3 linked regions of the Canis lupus familiaris genome follow. The protein of the gene in region 1 interacts with the protein of each later gene in a pairwise test. Links are inferred from orthologs where the notes say so. Each region holds a gene or a part of one and is shown on either strand. Other genes may lie near its edges.

Region 1 (5,556 bases):
CAAGGCAACAGGAGACGCACAGGGGACGTGGGCAGCAGAGGCTCCAGCGACAGGCTGCAGGTCGCACTCACCTTGCCAGTGGTGGCACTGACCAGCTGGGCCTGGCAGTCCACGGAGCCAGTGAGGATCAGGCTGCCGTCCTGGTTGGTGGCGACACAGGTCAGAGGGCCCTGGTGACCCTCGGTCCCTAGGAGGGGGCAGACAGCTAGGTCAGGCTGCCCCCCAGGCCCCGAGTCCTGCCCCAGGTCTCCCGCACAGACACCCCCAGCGAACCCTTCCCCTGCCTTAGAGACCTTTTAGTACGTGGATCGGACTTCCCTGCTTCAGGTCCCAGATCCTGATGGTGCCATCTTCATAGCCGACCACAGCTCTCTTCCCTGAAGGGCCACAGGCACAGAGGTGGTCAGATGGCACCCTCAGGCACACCCAGCAAGGGAATGAGGGGGGCGGGGAGACAGGAAAGTAAGGGAGCAGACCCTGCCCCACGGAAGGAAGAGTGTGCAGTCCAGGCCGGAGAGGGGACGCGGTCTGCTCTGGGGCCTGGGTCCACGCTCCGGACGGCGGACCTCGGAGCTGGCCGGCCAGGACCCGGAGGGAGCCCAGGAGGGTGAGTACACCTGGAGCCAACCTCTGTACACCCAGGGAAGGACGGACAGAGAGCTGCCCTCACCATCAGGGAGGACGCGGCCACAGGTAGCTGGGCAGTTGGGGCCTTGGAAGGTCTTGCAGTCACCATTTGGGACCTTCCACATCCAAGTGTTGCCGTCAGCGGTGCCCGCCAGGAGGACAGGTGCCCGAGGGTGCCACTCCATCCACTGGGCAGAAAGGAAGGGTCAGCAGGGAGGCGCCTGTCACCCCATCCCGCCTAGGAGCCTGTCCCCTAAGCTCCCCCCAAGCTGTCCTTGCTGCTGAGGTCAGCGGGGCCTGGACGGGAAACGGAGTAGACACCCTTGCTGCAACCTGAGAGCGCACTGGCTCAGAGCTGGCTGGGTCCGGGACAGGCGACACCGGACCCCCAAGCCCTCACCTCCCACCCAAGGCCCCACACAGCCAAACACCACTCTGACGATCTCACCTCCAGGTCTCCTGCTTCAAAGGACCACACTTCCTCCTTGGTGTCGACCTGCCACACTTTCAAGAGGCCACTCATGTCCCCGGTGGCCACTAGGGTAGAGTCGTGGCTGAAGCCAGCACAAGTAACAGAGTCTTTATGGCCTGCAAAGCAAAGTAGGTAGAAAGAGAGGAGAACGTCAGGGTATCTGGTGCTGGTGACACACGACCCAGGCGTCCGGCCCCCAGGAAGGACCAGCTGGGAAGGAAAGAGGGGGGGTTCCCACCGTAACAGGTGACTCGAGTCACTGCCCGTGCCAGGCGCCAATACCCCCAGGCCTCCCTAGGGGTGGCAATGCTAGCCTCCCACTCAACCGTGCCTCGCTCAGGCTTACGTCCTCTGCCCCAAATACCTCCACACCTCTGCCCCAAATACCTGCTCCCCCTTTCTGCCTAAGCCAGTGCTACCTCCTCGCAGACCCTGCCCAGACTCCTTTGGCCACTACCAGCTCCCTCCCCTGCACCCAAAACAGACTAGATCATCTGCTTTGAAGTCCTCGGGTCCAGCACAGGATGGAGATCAGTAAGTAGCTGCTGGAGGCATGAGCACAGCAGGCTAGCCCCCCTAAGACCTCCAGGAGAACAGGACCTCAGCCGTGCTCCCTCACCTGCACACTCAAAGAGCAGCTCCCCATCGCTGAGCCTCCACACGAAAGCTTTGTCATCTTCACCCCCCGTCACGGCCAACGTGTTGGTCTTGGGGTCCAGGCTCACACAAAACACAGACGCTGTCCCAAGAGAGAGTCCACGAGTGAGCGGACAGGGCTGCCACCCAGGGTCCTGTCCTTCGGGAAGCCCACCCGCTTCCACCCAGAGCACCATGTCTTTCCTCCAGAAAAGAAGGGTGCATCCAAGTTCTTCTAAGTTTCAAGCATCAGGTTGTTGGAGAAATCCCTCTCTACCCTTGCCAAGCTCCGAGTCCTTCTGCAGGGCTGCTGCCTTCACCACCCCAGACTGACGCTCAGACCAGAGCAGTGGACACGTGCAGGGCTTACAGGCTCAGCCGGGGCTGCCACCGGGCTGAGCACGGAGTGAGGGCACCCCGTCACTTGCCTTATTACGGACCAGTATTTGAGAATAGTATACAAAATTTGCTCAGAAAAAGTACTGCTACCTCTAATTTACGACAAGGTAACTTCTGGAAAAGAAACAAAGACCTAGAGACGCTACAAAGACCACAGATCTGTAAGGAGCAAAAGCAGATCCGACGCCCGGTGCCTGGGCGGGCTCCAGCAGCCCAGCTCTCCCCCAGGCCATGGGGCGTGAGCTCCTCCCGGGCCCTCTCCCTGCCCCGGGGAAGGCTCCGGGCACAGCAGGCGTCTGATGTTCAGCGGCGCCGGCGCACGGGGTTTACCAGAGACCTACCTGAGTGCAGCGCGAAGGTGACTTCGCTGTCGTCCGGGCCCTCCATGCTGCCCACCACTCCTTCCTGGGGTTCCAAAACCCAGCCCTCCTCGTTGCCCTCTTCCTCTTCTTCCTCTTCTTCGAAGTCCACGTCTTCCATCTCCTGGGCCAGATCATCTGCTTTGGGGAGAGGGTTAAAAGGTGGGGCTCGGCAGCCAGAAGAGGCTTAGCGGAGAAGTGTGGGGAGCTGGGGTGTAGCAAGAGGGTCGGCTGAGGTCACACGGAGGGGGTGAGGCGGCGGGGAGGGGGGCTCTGGGGGCGGAGGACGCCGAGGTGGAGGACCCGGGCACGGCCAGGGGCCGTGTGGGAAGGGAGGACCGAGGGGATGACGGGAAGGGGGTGTGTGAGGGGAAGGGCCGGAGGAGGCGTCAGGGGAACCCCCACCCCTGCCAGGCCTGGGAACTACGTGTGGGGGCAGGGCAGGGAGGAAGGGCGACGGGGAGCGGCAGGAACGGCCGGAGGGGAGGGGGGCCGGGGGGAGAAGCAGGGGCCGGGGGCCAGGGGGGCGCCTCCCGTCCCGCGGCCCGAGCGGCGGCAGTTCTCACCCGGGTCGGGCGGGCCAGGATCCAGCTCTACCACCTCGATAATCTCTTCATCACCATGGAAGCTCAGGGTCTCCAGGGGGGGGGTGTCAGCAGCGGCCCCGCTCTCCGATTCGGACTCCATGCGGCGCAAGCGGCCGATCCACTTCTCTGGGCCCAAACGCCTCCCAGAGTCAGCTCTGCGCGACGACGCGGAACTCGAGCCCCTCCTCCCGGGAGGAAGTAGGCGTAGGCGACTCCCCGGCAGGAAGAGCGACGGCCGCTAGCCCAATAGCGAAGGGGGCTACCCGGCTGACCCACCAATCACGGGGCAGAGCTGGGAGAAGGGGGCGGGCCGTGGCGGGGAGAACCCAAACTCCGCCCGGCCTGACTCCGCCTCCAACAGGAGGGAAACAAGCGAGCGTGCGCGCCTCCGGGGTCTCCTGGGAAGAGTAGTTCTCCCGGGGCCCCTCGCGGGCTTCTGGGAGATGTAGTTTCTGGTCTGTAGGCAGGACGGAAGGAGCGGGGGAGGCCCCTTACGCAAACTACAATTCCCGGCGGGGAGCGCGGTGAAGGGGGGTGGGATCTGAACATGGCGGCGGTGGTAGCTGCTACGGCGCTGAAGGGCCGGGGGGCGAGAAATGCCCGCGTCCTCCGGGGTAAGGAGAGGGACCCCGGGGAGGGCAAGGCTGCAGGGGATCCCCTTTTTATATACTCCCGACCAGCGATAGCAGGAGGTCATGGCTGTCGGTTCCTGCCCGCACCTCTCTGCGGGATCATAAAGAGTCTGGGGGCTAAGAAAAGATGCTCTCTGGAGGTCACCCAGCCCATCCCCTGCCCTCAAGTTCCGCGACACCTGCAGGGTCATGCTGCGAGAGGGAGCTCCGAGGAAGCCTTTTAGACTCCCGCGCTCCAGGTGTCTCACACTCACCGCAGTGCAGAGGATAGAGCCCCGGGCTTCTGGACGCTTGGGTTCTAGCCCCGGATAATTGGCAGTTTGACCTTGGGCGAAGCAGCTCGTCTCTGGGGGCTTCAGGTTCCTCTTCTACAGAACGAGGGGAAGGAGTAGACTACCTTTAAGCTCCAGTGCTAACGTTCTGCAGTTTGAAAACCTTTTCTCCGATTCCCTTCATACGTCTTATGTGAGCCCCACTGCAGTCCTTCACTTCCTGTCGTCCGAGCAGATGAAGAGCGACGAAGCTCGCCGTCCTGGCACCGGGGTGATGAGCCCGCAGTGACGTGGAAGTGGCTTTCAAAGGTGCCACCTCGATGGCAGTTTTCCCATTTCCCTTTGGATTCTCCCTGGCACTTGTTACTCCAAACCGCAGTCACTCCCCTTCCTCCCCTGGGCTCTCCTCCTCTTACTGACCTTCCTTCCTTCCTTCCATCCACAGGGATTCTTTCAGGAGCCACAGCTAACAAAGCCTCCCAGAGCAGGACCCGGGCACTGCAAAGCCACAGCTCTCCAGAGTGCAAGGAGGAGCCTGAGCCCCTATCCCCTGAGCTGGAATACATCCCCAGAAAGAGGGGCAAGAACCCCATGAAAGCTGTGGGACTAGCCTGGTGAGTTTTAACTAACTCTTTGCCCACCAACGGGGAGTGGCACAGGGGAGGGCGGGACCCAGAAACTTCTCCAAGTTTCAGGTGGTGAGTTGAATCTGAGGTTGTGGGGATGGAACTGCTTGGAGTGAGGATTGGACTCGGAGGAATGAGGCAAGGGGGGTGGGAAAGTATGTGGAATTGGAGACACAGTGAGTTTTCTGTGTAGTAGTAAGCTGAGCTAATCTGATTTGAATTTGGGTCCCTGGCTTTATTCTCTCTTTTGGGAGCTTGGGGTGAAAGGCAATTGAGCTTTCATTGAGGTCACGTGAGAGAGTGTGTATTAGTTGAATAAGGAGCATCTAGAAGGTGTTCAGTGTATCGTTACTTAGATCTGATTCTGACCTTAATACGTATCGTTGATCAATATTAAAAGGAAAGGAGGGGGAAATTAATGTTTTTTCCCCCACACCTGAGGTGTGCCTGTACTTTACAGTGTAATATGTTTAGTTTTTCTGAGATAAATGTTACATCTCCTAAATCCAAAAGATGAAAACATGTAAGAAAAAAATTACATCTCAATTCATAAAGGAGGGAACTAAGGTTCAGAGGTGGGATCCTCGCCAGGTCTTGTGACTCCATGCCCTCTCCCCCACACCAAAGTGCCTCCCGAGTAGTGGTTACTCAGATGGAGAACAGGGGTCTGGGAAGCGACATGGGGCGGTTAAGGCAGAAGGAACCTTTGCCGACACTTGGAGAGGGAAAGAGGGTGGGCTATCTGGAGAATCTGGCATAGTTGGCACGGCGGGATTGCAGGGGCTCATGTCAAGCAGAGCGTCAAGCTGTTGGGGACAGGAATGGAAAGGTGGGCAGAAAACCAACCACACGGGGCCTTTTGTGCTGTGCCTAGGAGTTTGGATTTGGCCAGGAAGTGACGGAGAGCTGTTACAGAGTTTTAAGCAGTGCAGCAGCAGGACCTGGT
Region 2 (4,485 bases), on another chromosome or scaffold:
TCCTACAACAAATTGCTTATGCACATTCGTTGGGGGAGATGTCATTTTATCTTTCCTAAAAGGTCAGACTTTTCGTTTGGAATGCTGCTGTGTGCCACCTGGCATGAATACATATTAGTCAAGTGGTAAAATATTTCCGTGGCATTTTGGTTTAAGGGTTTCTGGGTTCTGGGACATTTTCCCCCTCCTGTTTAAAATGCCAAGGCACCTATAATTTGTATCCTGGGTGTTTTACAGTTGGTCTTCTTAGTCCTCTCTCATTGGAGAGTAAATCATGGGTATGCCCCAGTGTTTTCCTGTTTCTCTACTTCCTTATCACTCTGTGTGTGGTATGATCCTGGCAGGTTGACAGCAGGAGCTTTTCGTACATTTCATGTGGTTCCCTGAATAGCCACTAGGTATCTTGGTGAATTGCACAATCTAATGAAACCACTGAAGTTTCATCATTAGTTTCTACTGACTTCCAGAGAATCACAGTCACCTTGTAACCTTCTAGTTTCACCCCTTCCAAATAATACTGTACAGGCTGGGGAGAAATTCTTCTACTCGCTCCCTCATTCCATTCTTCTTGCCCTTCTTTCCAAGACCCATGTGATGAGAATCCCAGAAGCCTAGCAAGTGCTTCTGCCAGCTTTCTTATTGAAAATAGGAAGATGATCGTACTTGATGTCTTGGGGCGTATAGATAGGATACGTGGAAAAGGCTTAGAAAGAGCTTTGAAATTTAAAGATTCCAGCACAATTGCAACTTTTTAAATTGAAAATAAGCTAACGTAGGTGACATCATTCCTTTATTCTTTATCGCATTCTATGACTGGTCCTGTCCAATCTTGCTCTGGTAAGAGCATCCTCTAAACATATGAGGATGTTCACTGCTGAGTCGCTTATAATGAAAACTCAAGAATGAGCTATAAATTCAATGAGCGAAAATAGTCCATCTCTATTAATTATGTTCTGTTTCTATGATTGGGTTATTATGCAGCCATTATAGCTCATATTTGACCTGTAAGTGGTAAGATAGTGGATTATTTTTGTTCTATTATTTATACTTTTCAGTGTAATCCAAAATTTTCCCGATCGTATTACTTTTGGAGTTAGGAACACAAAGTCAGCAAGTGCTGTTAACCGAAAGGAAAGCTCCCGGGTGTAGGTATCCAGGTGAACCACGGGACCTTCTGAAATGTCTTCCTTTGGATCTGTGTTGATCCAGGTGAGCTGTCGGGGAGAAATGTTGAAGCAGGTCAAGAGATGTTCTGCTCAGGTTTCCAGACGTGTGCCCGGGAGGTGCTTCAGTACCTGGCCAAGCATGAGAACACTCGGGACCTGAAGTCTTCACAGCTAGTCACCCACCTTCACCGTGTGGTCTCAGAGCTGCTGCAGGGGGGGACCTCCAGGAAACCATCAGACCCGGCTCCCAAAGCCATGGACTTCAAGGAGAAACCCAGCTCCCTGGCCAAAGGCTCTGAAGGCCCCGGGAAAAACTGTGTGCCGGTCATCCAGCGGACTTTTGCTCACTCGAGTGGGGAGCAGAGTGGCAGTGACACGGACACAGACAGTGGCTACGGAGGAGAATCAGAGAAGGGTGACTTGCGTGGTGAGCAGCAGTACTTCAAAAGCGATCATGGACGCAGGTTCACCATGGGAGAAAGGATCGGTGTTATTAAGCAAGAATCTGAAGAACCCCCAACAAAAAAGAGCAGGATGCAGCTCTCAGATGATGAAGGCCACTTCACTGGCAGTGACCTGATCAGCTCCCCATTCCTGGGCCCACACCCACACCAGCCTCCCTTCTGTCTGCCCTTCTATCTCATCCCGCCGTCAGCGACTGCCTACTTGCCCATGCTGGAGAAGTGCTGGTATCCCACCTCCGTCCCAGTGTTATACCCGGGCCTCAACGCCTCCGCCGCAGCCCTCACCAGCTTCATGAACCCAGACAAGATCTCAGCCCCCTTGCTCATGCCTCAGAGACTCCCTTCTCCCTTGCCAGCCCATCCGGCCATCGACTCTTCTGCCCTGCTCCAAGCTTTGAAGCAGATCCCCCCTTTAAACTTAGAAACCAAAGACTAGGGGACCTTGCCGCACTGCTTTCCTTCCTCCCTACTTCCCCCTCCCCCCTCAAAAAAGAAAGTGTGACTGCAGCAAGATTGTTCTAGTGTGTATGCTGAGATAATCTGAGGCATGGAGAGAAGATTTTTGGGGTCCCTGTGTGCGTGTGTGTATCTGTGTGCGCGTGCGTGCGCCTGCGCTCGCGTGCATCGTGTGCTGGTATAGGACATTAAAGCTCCTTTTGGCGTAGGGAAGATATGAAGGATTGCCTGACATCAGGAGACTTAGGGGGGATTGTAGCAGATCTCTGGGCTTTCCCCCACCCGGAGAATAGCCCCCTCAGATACATCCAAATCAGCTGGATTTTCAAAAGCTTCAAAGTCTTGGTCTGTGAGTCAGTCTTCGTTTTGGGAGCCGGGTCTGTGGCTTTGAGAGAAAGGTACTTTCAAAAGAGGGCTTTCCAGAGCGCAGTTCCCAGCCAGCTCTAATGACCCCACCCTTCTCCCTTTATTGTTGCGGTGACTCACCGAAAGGGGAGAGGGCAGCCACACTGAGCTTTCTGCTAAGTGGTGAGGTAGCAGACACTGGCATAGCACGGTAGTGGTTTGGGGAGATTTCTGCAGGTCTGCTCCCCACCCGCTGCTGCCTTCTCCGGTGAATAAAGAGAATGTAGTTCCCTTCTCAGGCTTTCGTAGTGATTAGCTTAATAAGGAACTGAAAAGGGCCCCCTGGTCAAGCTGAGCTGCCAAGGAATGAGGGAGGAGGCCCCAGGGCCTCTGGTGCCTATTCCTAGGTCTCACCTAGAAAATGATCTTGCTGTCCCAGGAACCAGAGCAGGGTCTGCGAGATGCAGGTGCCTATGCTGCAGTCATCCCCAAAATGCATAAAGCCAAGTAACAAATTGCTACCTTCAACGAGCAGAGCTAGACTCAGTTTTCAGTTCTATCCTAAAACTCCTTTACCAAGCTTAGCTTAAAGGCCTAACCAGCTCTTGGCACAGCAAGATCCTTTCTGCAGGCTAATTCCCCTCGCCCGACGGCATAGGGAGTGTCCTTATTGCTAAAAAGGATTCTGTCTCCTTCAAAGAAGTTTTATTTTTGGTCCAGAGTACTTGTTTTCCGACTCATCCAGCTAGCCCTGCACCAGCTTTTTGAAATGCACTATGCTTGATCGCCGATCGTGTTTTAACTTTTTCTTTTCCTGTTTTTATTTTGGTATAAAGTCATTGCCTTTATTTGTAAAACTGTTATAAATATATATTATATAAATATATTAAAAAGGAAAATGTTTCAGATGTTTATTTGTATAATTACTTGATCTACAAAGTGAGAAAAATGAATGTATTCCTGTTTTTGAAGAGAAGAATAATTTTTTTCTCTAGGGAGAGGTACAGTGTTTATATTTTGGAGCCTTCCTGAAGGTGTGAAATTGTAAATATTTTTATCTATGAGTCAATGTTAAGTAGTTGTTTTAAAATACTTAATAAAATAATCCTTTTCCTGTGGAAGAGAAAAGATGGTCTTTTGCATTTTTTTAGAATGCCCCAGTTGTGTGATACGGCTGTCTTCTTCCCTCCCCTCTTGGCTGGAGGCAACAACTAGTTAATCTTGGCGTCATTTCATTCAGCTTTTTATGTGCCTTGTATTCAGACAGAATAAACTTGGTCAATTTCATGGTAAATATTTGTTTAAATTTTTTTTTTTTAACTAACGGTTGCTAAAGTTCATGGCCACCCTGCGCCTCCTTCCAGCATTAGGCAAAAAAAAGTACATTGTCCCTGTCCCCCCAACCCCAGCCTGCTTTTGTCATGATCCTTAGAGCTTGACAGAAAATCAAATTATAGAATCGTTGGGCCTTAGGATCTGGGGAGCTTGCTGGAGGGGTAGGCACATGGAGAAAAGATTTAATGGATTATTATGCAATAATAATTGGTGCTGGGGATAGCATCCTCTGCCAAGCCAGTCTAACTTTTTTGAGTCTAGCAAAGTCTAATGGATTTGCCATATCCTGTCTTATTGCTGCTGAAGGCAACATTCCATAATTATTTTCTACATCCTTCCTGGACTTCCTCTCGTTGGGTGTGTTTGTGCGTGAATGAATATTGGTGTTCCTTAGTCAAGTGCTCTTATGAAGAAAAAAAATTTCCATGGGAAAAGAAGTGGGAAATGACCGGGTCGAGTATTTTTGCCTCTCCCCTTCTCCCCATCAGGGATGTCCCTGCTGGCCAGTGCCTGGCTTGCCATGCTTCAGATCCCCAAGTATCTGAGTCCTCTGGGAACCCTCTGGATGTCTGCAGCCTGAGCAGGGAACCTGCCCCCAGGGAGTTCCCAGCCAGGCAAAGGCACCACCTGCCCCTCATGACTTTGCTTCAGATGTCGCCTTCACTGTCTCCTGACCAGCCAGCCAGCAGGTGAGAGCGAGCATTGCCTGGCTGTGTGAG
Region 3 (4,332 bases), on another chromosome or scaffold:
ATAGAGCTCCATGGCTGTCGTGGCATCTTCCACTGATGAGTGCCCGTGCTGGCCAGCCTGCAGACAAGAGCCCTCATCACTGCCCGCCATTCTGGATCTGGTGCAGGCCCAGAACTCTCGGAACAGCTGTGTATGGCTCGGGACGGGGGCAGGGCATGGGTGCTGCTCAGGAGAGCACAGCAATCTCAGACATCCCGTACCCCACCTATCCTCTCTGACCCTGCGTCCCCAACTCAAACATAACCCGTGGTATAACTGACTTCAGAGGCTTGAAGAGCGGACGGAATAATGAGAAGGACAGTGGGAGCGAGAGTTACTGGCTGCCCCTGGGAAAGGCTCCGCCTTGTGGATTCTCCATGAAGGGCAGGGACAGAGCCAGGGACCGGGTGGAGGACAGGTCTGCAAGAGCCCAGCCTGCAAGAACGTGGTTGGCTGTCACAATAGGGATGGTGGAGAAAACACCCAGGGCTGCCTCTACGTGTGGGACATCATACTTAGCGCCCTGGTCCCGGGGACTGGGGAAGGTGGAATGACTGGAAGCCCGAAGGCACACCCCATGGCCCCTTCTCCCGTCCCACGCACCTGGATCTTCTTGTGGAGCAGCTGCAGGGCCAGGTCCTTAAGAGACACCCGGGTGCGGGTGTGGAGGCCAGGCTGGTGGAGGAGGTTGGGCACGTAAGTGGTATCCCGGGTCTGGCTCCGAGGGTGCACGTACTTGAGGGCCTGGAAGTCATTGTGGAGCGCATGCCCCACCACCACCTTGCCCTTCAGGAGCTTGAGGATCTATGAGTGAAGGAGGGAGGAAGACCCTGCTGTCAAGCTGGCACGAGACATGTGCTGCCACCCTGGCCACTGGCACACAGATCCCTCCAAAGGGGGGGGGGGGCAGTGTGGAGAGGGCACCCACGAGCTCCATGGTCAGCCACGCAGCCTCATGTCTGAGTCCTGGGCCTTCGACTCACTATGACCCGGGGCACACTTAGGCTCTCGAACAAGTAAGAGTGCTGTCTCCCCGGGGTGGGTCTGAGCATTTTAAGAAGTAGCTCCTGGAAGAAGTCTTCTAGTTGATCAATACAAGCAACTCTGTTCTACTGGCACAGGCTCTCTGCTCAGACTGGAAGACTTCCCTGCACTCCCCCACCCCACTCAACCTTGTGCCAAGTCCTCTCGGGGCGCCTCGGCTTCCATGCCAGGAGGCCTCCCACATGACTGGCCCAGCCACATCAGGACCCGGGCTGTTCTCTCCCATGGTGGTGGAGTGGATTCATCACGTTTTCTAAGGACACCTCTAGGTCTGGCACAGTCTATCCACCTGCCCCCATGTTAGCTCAGTGTAAACAGCAGGGACGGTGTTTGACTTGACTAGTGATGCTCGATGAAAGCTCAGTACATAGGAGGCGACGGATAAAGACCCACTGGATGACGTCCACAGAACTGTGCCTGGCACTAGAGATAAGCCCATTAACAGCAGCTTTTGTTAGCATTAGCCAACATGGCCTGTCTCCTCAGGATCCTGCCCCTGGACAAGGGGCCATACAGGACTCCGCTTCCCACCTCTGAAACCTTTGGTCTCTGGCTCAGCGCTCACCACGTGCATAGTGCATGCCTCTCTTCCCTGCCTTCCATCCTTCTCAGGCCCCAGGGAGGTCATGTGCACGTTTGCACAGCATGATGATTTTTCAAAGCCATCCCCAAGCCCATGAGAATCTCCATGGAAGGATCTGGGGACAAAGATTCAAGATTTAACAGTGCTTTAGGTGCTTCCTATGGTCAAATACGTTTGGGAACTCCTAGCACATTAGTGCGATCCCAATCACTAATTGATCTTTTTCAAAGCTCCGGATAACTAAAAAAATATGGAAACGCTGATGCCTGAAGATGACAGGACTGTGGGCCTTGCAAATTCTAAATAGATACATCATACTTTTACAACCGAAAAGAAAATGTAACTTGTGAGCCTTTCACATCTTCCAAGTGGCGGTCTTTCCACAAACATTATCCCAAAGACTACCCAGCAACCCTCCCATGGAGGTGGGTCCAGATTTTATGCACCCTTGTTTATGGAGAAGGAAGCCACACGTTACACAGAGGTTAAGTAACTTTCCCAAACTCGTTTCCAGCAGCTGAGTGGTGACTCAAACCCAGGGCTGCCCTTCCCTGGCCATCCCCCATCCACACATGTCCTCACCTATGTCCTCACCTCTTTCTGGGCCACCTGGAAGGGGATGGCCTTGCGCATGTGCTGCCGAGTGACACCACTCCAGCGAGTGCGGTAGTCCACGATGGGCATCTCAGGCCGAATGTACTTGTCATAGAGGACATCGCCATGGTAACTCACTACAGAGCAGCGGGCCAGCTCACTCACCCGCCCTCGGGGTCCTGTGCCCACCATCTCACAGTCGATGGCCACACATTTGCTGGGCCGGGGCCCTGCGGATTCCCGGGGGGTAGGCTTTCTGCTCCACGAGGCACCTCCAGGTTCATTCCTCAGACGCTGCATCCCACTGCTGGTGGCTTCAGTGCCCGGCAGTGCCTCTGATGGCATGGGCAGCGGGGAGGGTCCCAGCTTGGGGGGCATGCTCAGCAGCCCCTGCTCCTGCAGAAGGGCTTTCCGGGCCATGAATCGCTGGTGCTGTCGACTCTTCCGCTTGTGTTTTCTCCGAAGCACATCCTTGGTATTCAGGCTAGCCAGGGAAGGGCACGGGCACTGGGCAGACTCTGGGCCTTCCCGGGGTACCATCCCAATCAGCTCACACCTCGGGGCAGGCGTGGCCTGGTGGGGTGATCTGCCAGCGGGGCGGCGCTCTGCAGAGACAACACAGGGCAGAGAGGCTGGGTGAGAAGTGTGCAGGGCCAGCCCTGCCCCCGCCTGCAGGGCTCCACTGCCCACTGCCCACGAGCCCTGTACTTTGTCTCAGGCTCCCAGACTGAGCCCAGGACCTTTCAAATAATCACTGCACTGAGTCAAGCTCCCCTGTGAATCACTATCCCAAGTACTTTACATAGAATCACTAAATACTCCCAACAACCTGAACAAGTATGATCGTTCTCATCTCACAGGTGAGAAAGACAAGAGTTGATGCGAACCCAGCATCCAGGGTCTCAACCTTCAAGCCAGAGCACACCTTCAGGAGCATCAACAAGCTTTAGAGAGGTATAGATATGGGAAAAGAAAAGTTACAGAAACACCGTGTGTATGCATACACACATACACACGCAAATCTCATTTTTAAATTTTTTAAATTTAAGTTATCTCTACACCCAATGTGAGGCTCAAACTCATGACCCCAAGACCAAGAGTCGCATACTCTTCCAACTGAGCTGGCCACACAATCTAATCCCAGTTTTAAAAAAACCAAAAACCAAAAACCAAAAGAATCCTTTGTGAAAGCACAGGCCCTCATCCTCAGCAGAAACTAGAGAAAAAAAATTCACAAGAGGCTCACCATAGTTGCATTTTCGGTATCTGTCAACCAAAATAAGGTAATTCATTAAATGACTTTCTACCTCACTAATCACAACAGCATCTAAAACAGTTTTTGATAGCTAGGCATTTTGCTAAGTCACCAGAGACTAAAGGCAGGGGTATGCTCGTAAGCTGGCTCAACACACAAAAAGGGAAACAGAAAAGGCAGGGTCCGCAGGTCCCTCCATTACTGGACACTGGGGATTTCTGAAGTTCATGTGGGTTTGCAAATCCCATGCAACAAGGCCAGCAGGTGCCCAAGAGCGAGGGACCATGCTTGGACAGCTTCACTCACTTGCTAAGTCACCTGGTACATTTTTAACAGGCCAGAAAACCAGGACTTTCAAGAAGGCAGAGCAGGGTTTAACTCAGCTGTTTAGAAGTTACCTGAGCTGAGCTTCAGGTTCCTTGCTTGAGAAATGGCCCTACTACAACCTGTCCTAATGAAGATGGGAGGACACAATACACGTGTGCTCACTCTGCATCCATTGTATACAGTAGGGGCTCAGTAACTACCTGCTCCCTTCTCCCCAGAGCAGTTAAAGCTCTCCTCCTGACTGGTCACCAGCTCTTCCCAGGCCAAAGCTGCCTCGGCCAGGACTCACTGCCCTCCCAACCCACAGGCTTTCCCCTTACCTGTCTTCCCACTTACATACCTCCTAACCTTTCTACATCCTCCAGGGAGCCCTGCTGGAACAACCCTCTATCCCTAAGGGTTGTTCCACCCTAAGGCTCCCTTGGGTCCCAGCTGTGCCAGTTGCTGAGCAGAGAGTAACATAGGCAGATCCTGGCCTCGAAAATAATTAGTCTCACTGCAGAGACAGAAACAGAGCACAAGGCGTGCGCAGGGCTGGGTTAGAATTGCT

What was found.
Region 2: the proteins of AAMP (region 1) and BHLHE40 interact in a two-hybrid assay, tested with the Homo sapiens proteins (2 studies listed by BioGRID and IntAct). The link is inferred for Canis lupus familiaris from reciprocal best matches to the Homo sapiens genes AAMP and BHLHE40.
Region 3: the proteins of AAMP (region 1) and AEN interact in binary tests that used the Homo sapiens proteins (3 or more experiments, as listed by UniProt). The link is inferred for Canis lupus familiaris from reciprocal best matches to the Homo sapiens genes AAMP and AEN.

The regions. Positions count from the first base shown.
Region 1 is NC_049258.1:24,820,592-24,826,147, forward strand, and holds the start of AAMP (angio-associated migratory cell protein), read right to left. Parts: upstream 3,181-5,556; coding exon 3,060-3,180; intron 2,632-3,059; coding exon 2,476-2,631; intron 1,839-2,475; coding exon 1,719-1,838; intron 1,216-1,718; coding exon 1,076-1,215; intron 816-1,075; coding exon 671-815; intron 378-670; coding exon 294-377; intron 188-293; coding exon 72-187; intron 1-71. Other genes in the region: probable hydrolase PNKD, read left to right, coding at 3,628-3,694, 4,430-4,598. UniProt on the Homo sapiens protein: Plays a role in angiogenesis and cell migration. In smooth muscle cell migration, may act through the RhoA pathway.
Region 2 is NC_049241.1:12,717,174-12,721,658, reverse strand, and holds the end of BHLHE40 (class E basic helix-loop-helix protein 40), read left to right. Parts: intron 1-1,209; coding exon 1,210-2,066; 3' UTR 2,067-3,559; downstream 3,560-4,485. UniProt on the Homo sapiens protein: Transcriptional repressor involved in the regulation of the circadian rhythm by negatively regulating the activity of the clock genes and clock-controlled genes.
Region 3 is NC_049224.1:52,304,543-52,308,874, reverse strand, and holds part of AEN (apoptosis-enhancing nuclease), read right to left. Parts: intron 2,806-4,332; coding exon 2,201-2,805; coding exon of another isoform or gene 2,189-2,200; intron 784-2,188; coding exon 583-783; intron 58-582; coding exon 1-57. UniProt on the Homo sapiens protein: Exonuclease with activity against single- and double-stranded DNA and RNA. Mediates p53-induced apoptosis.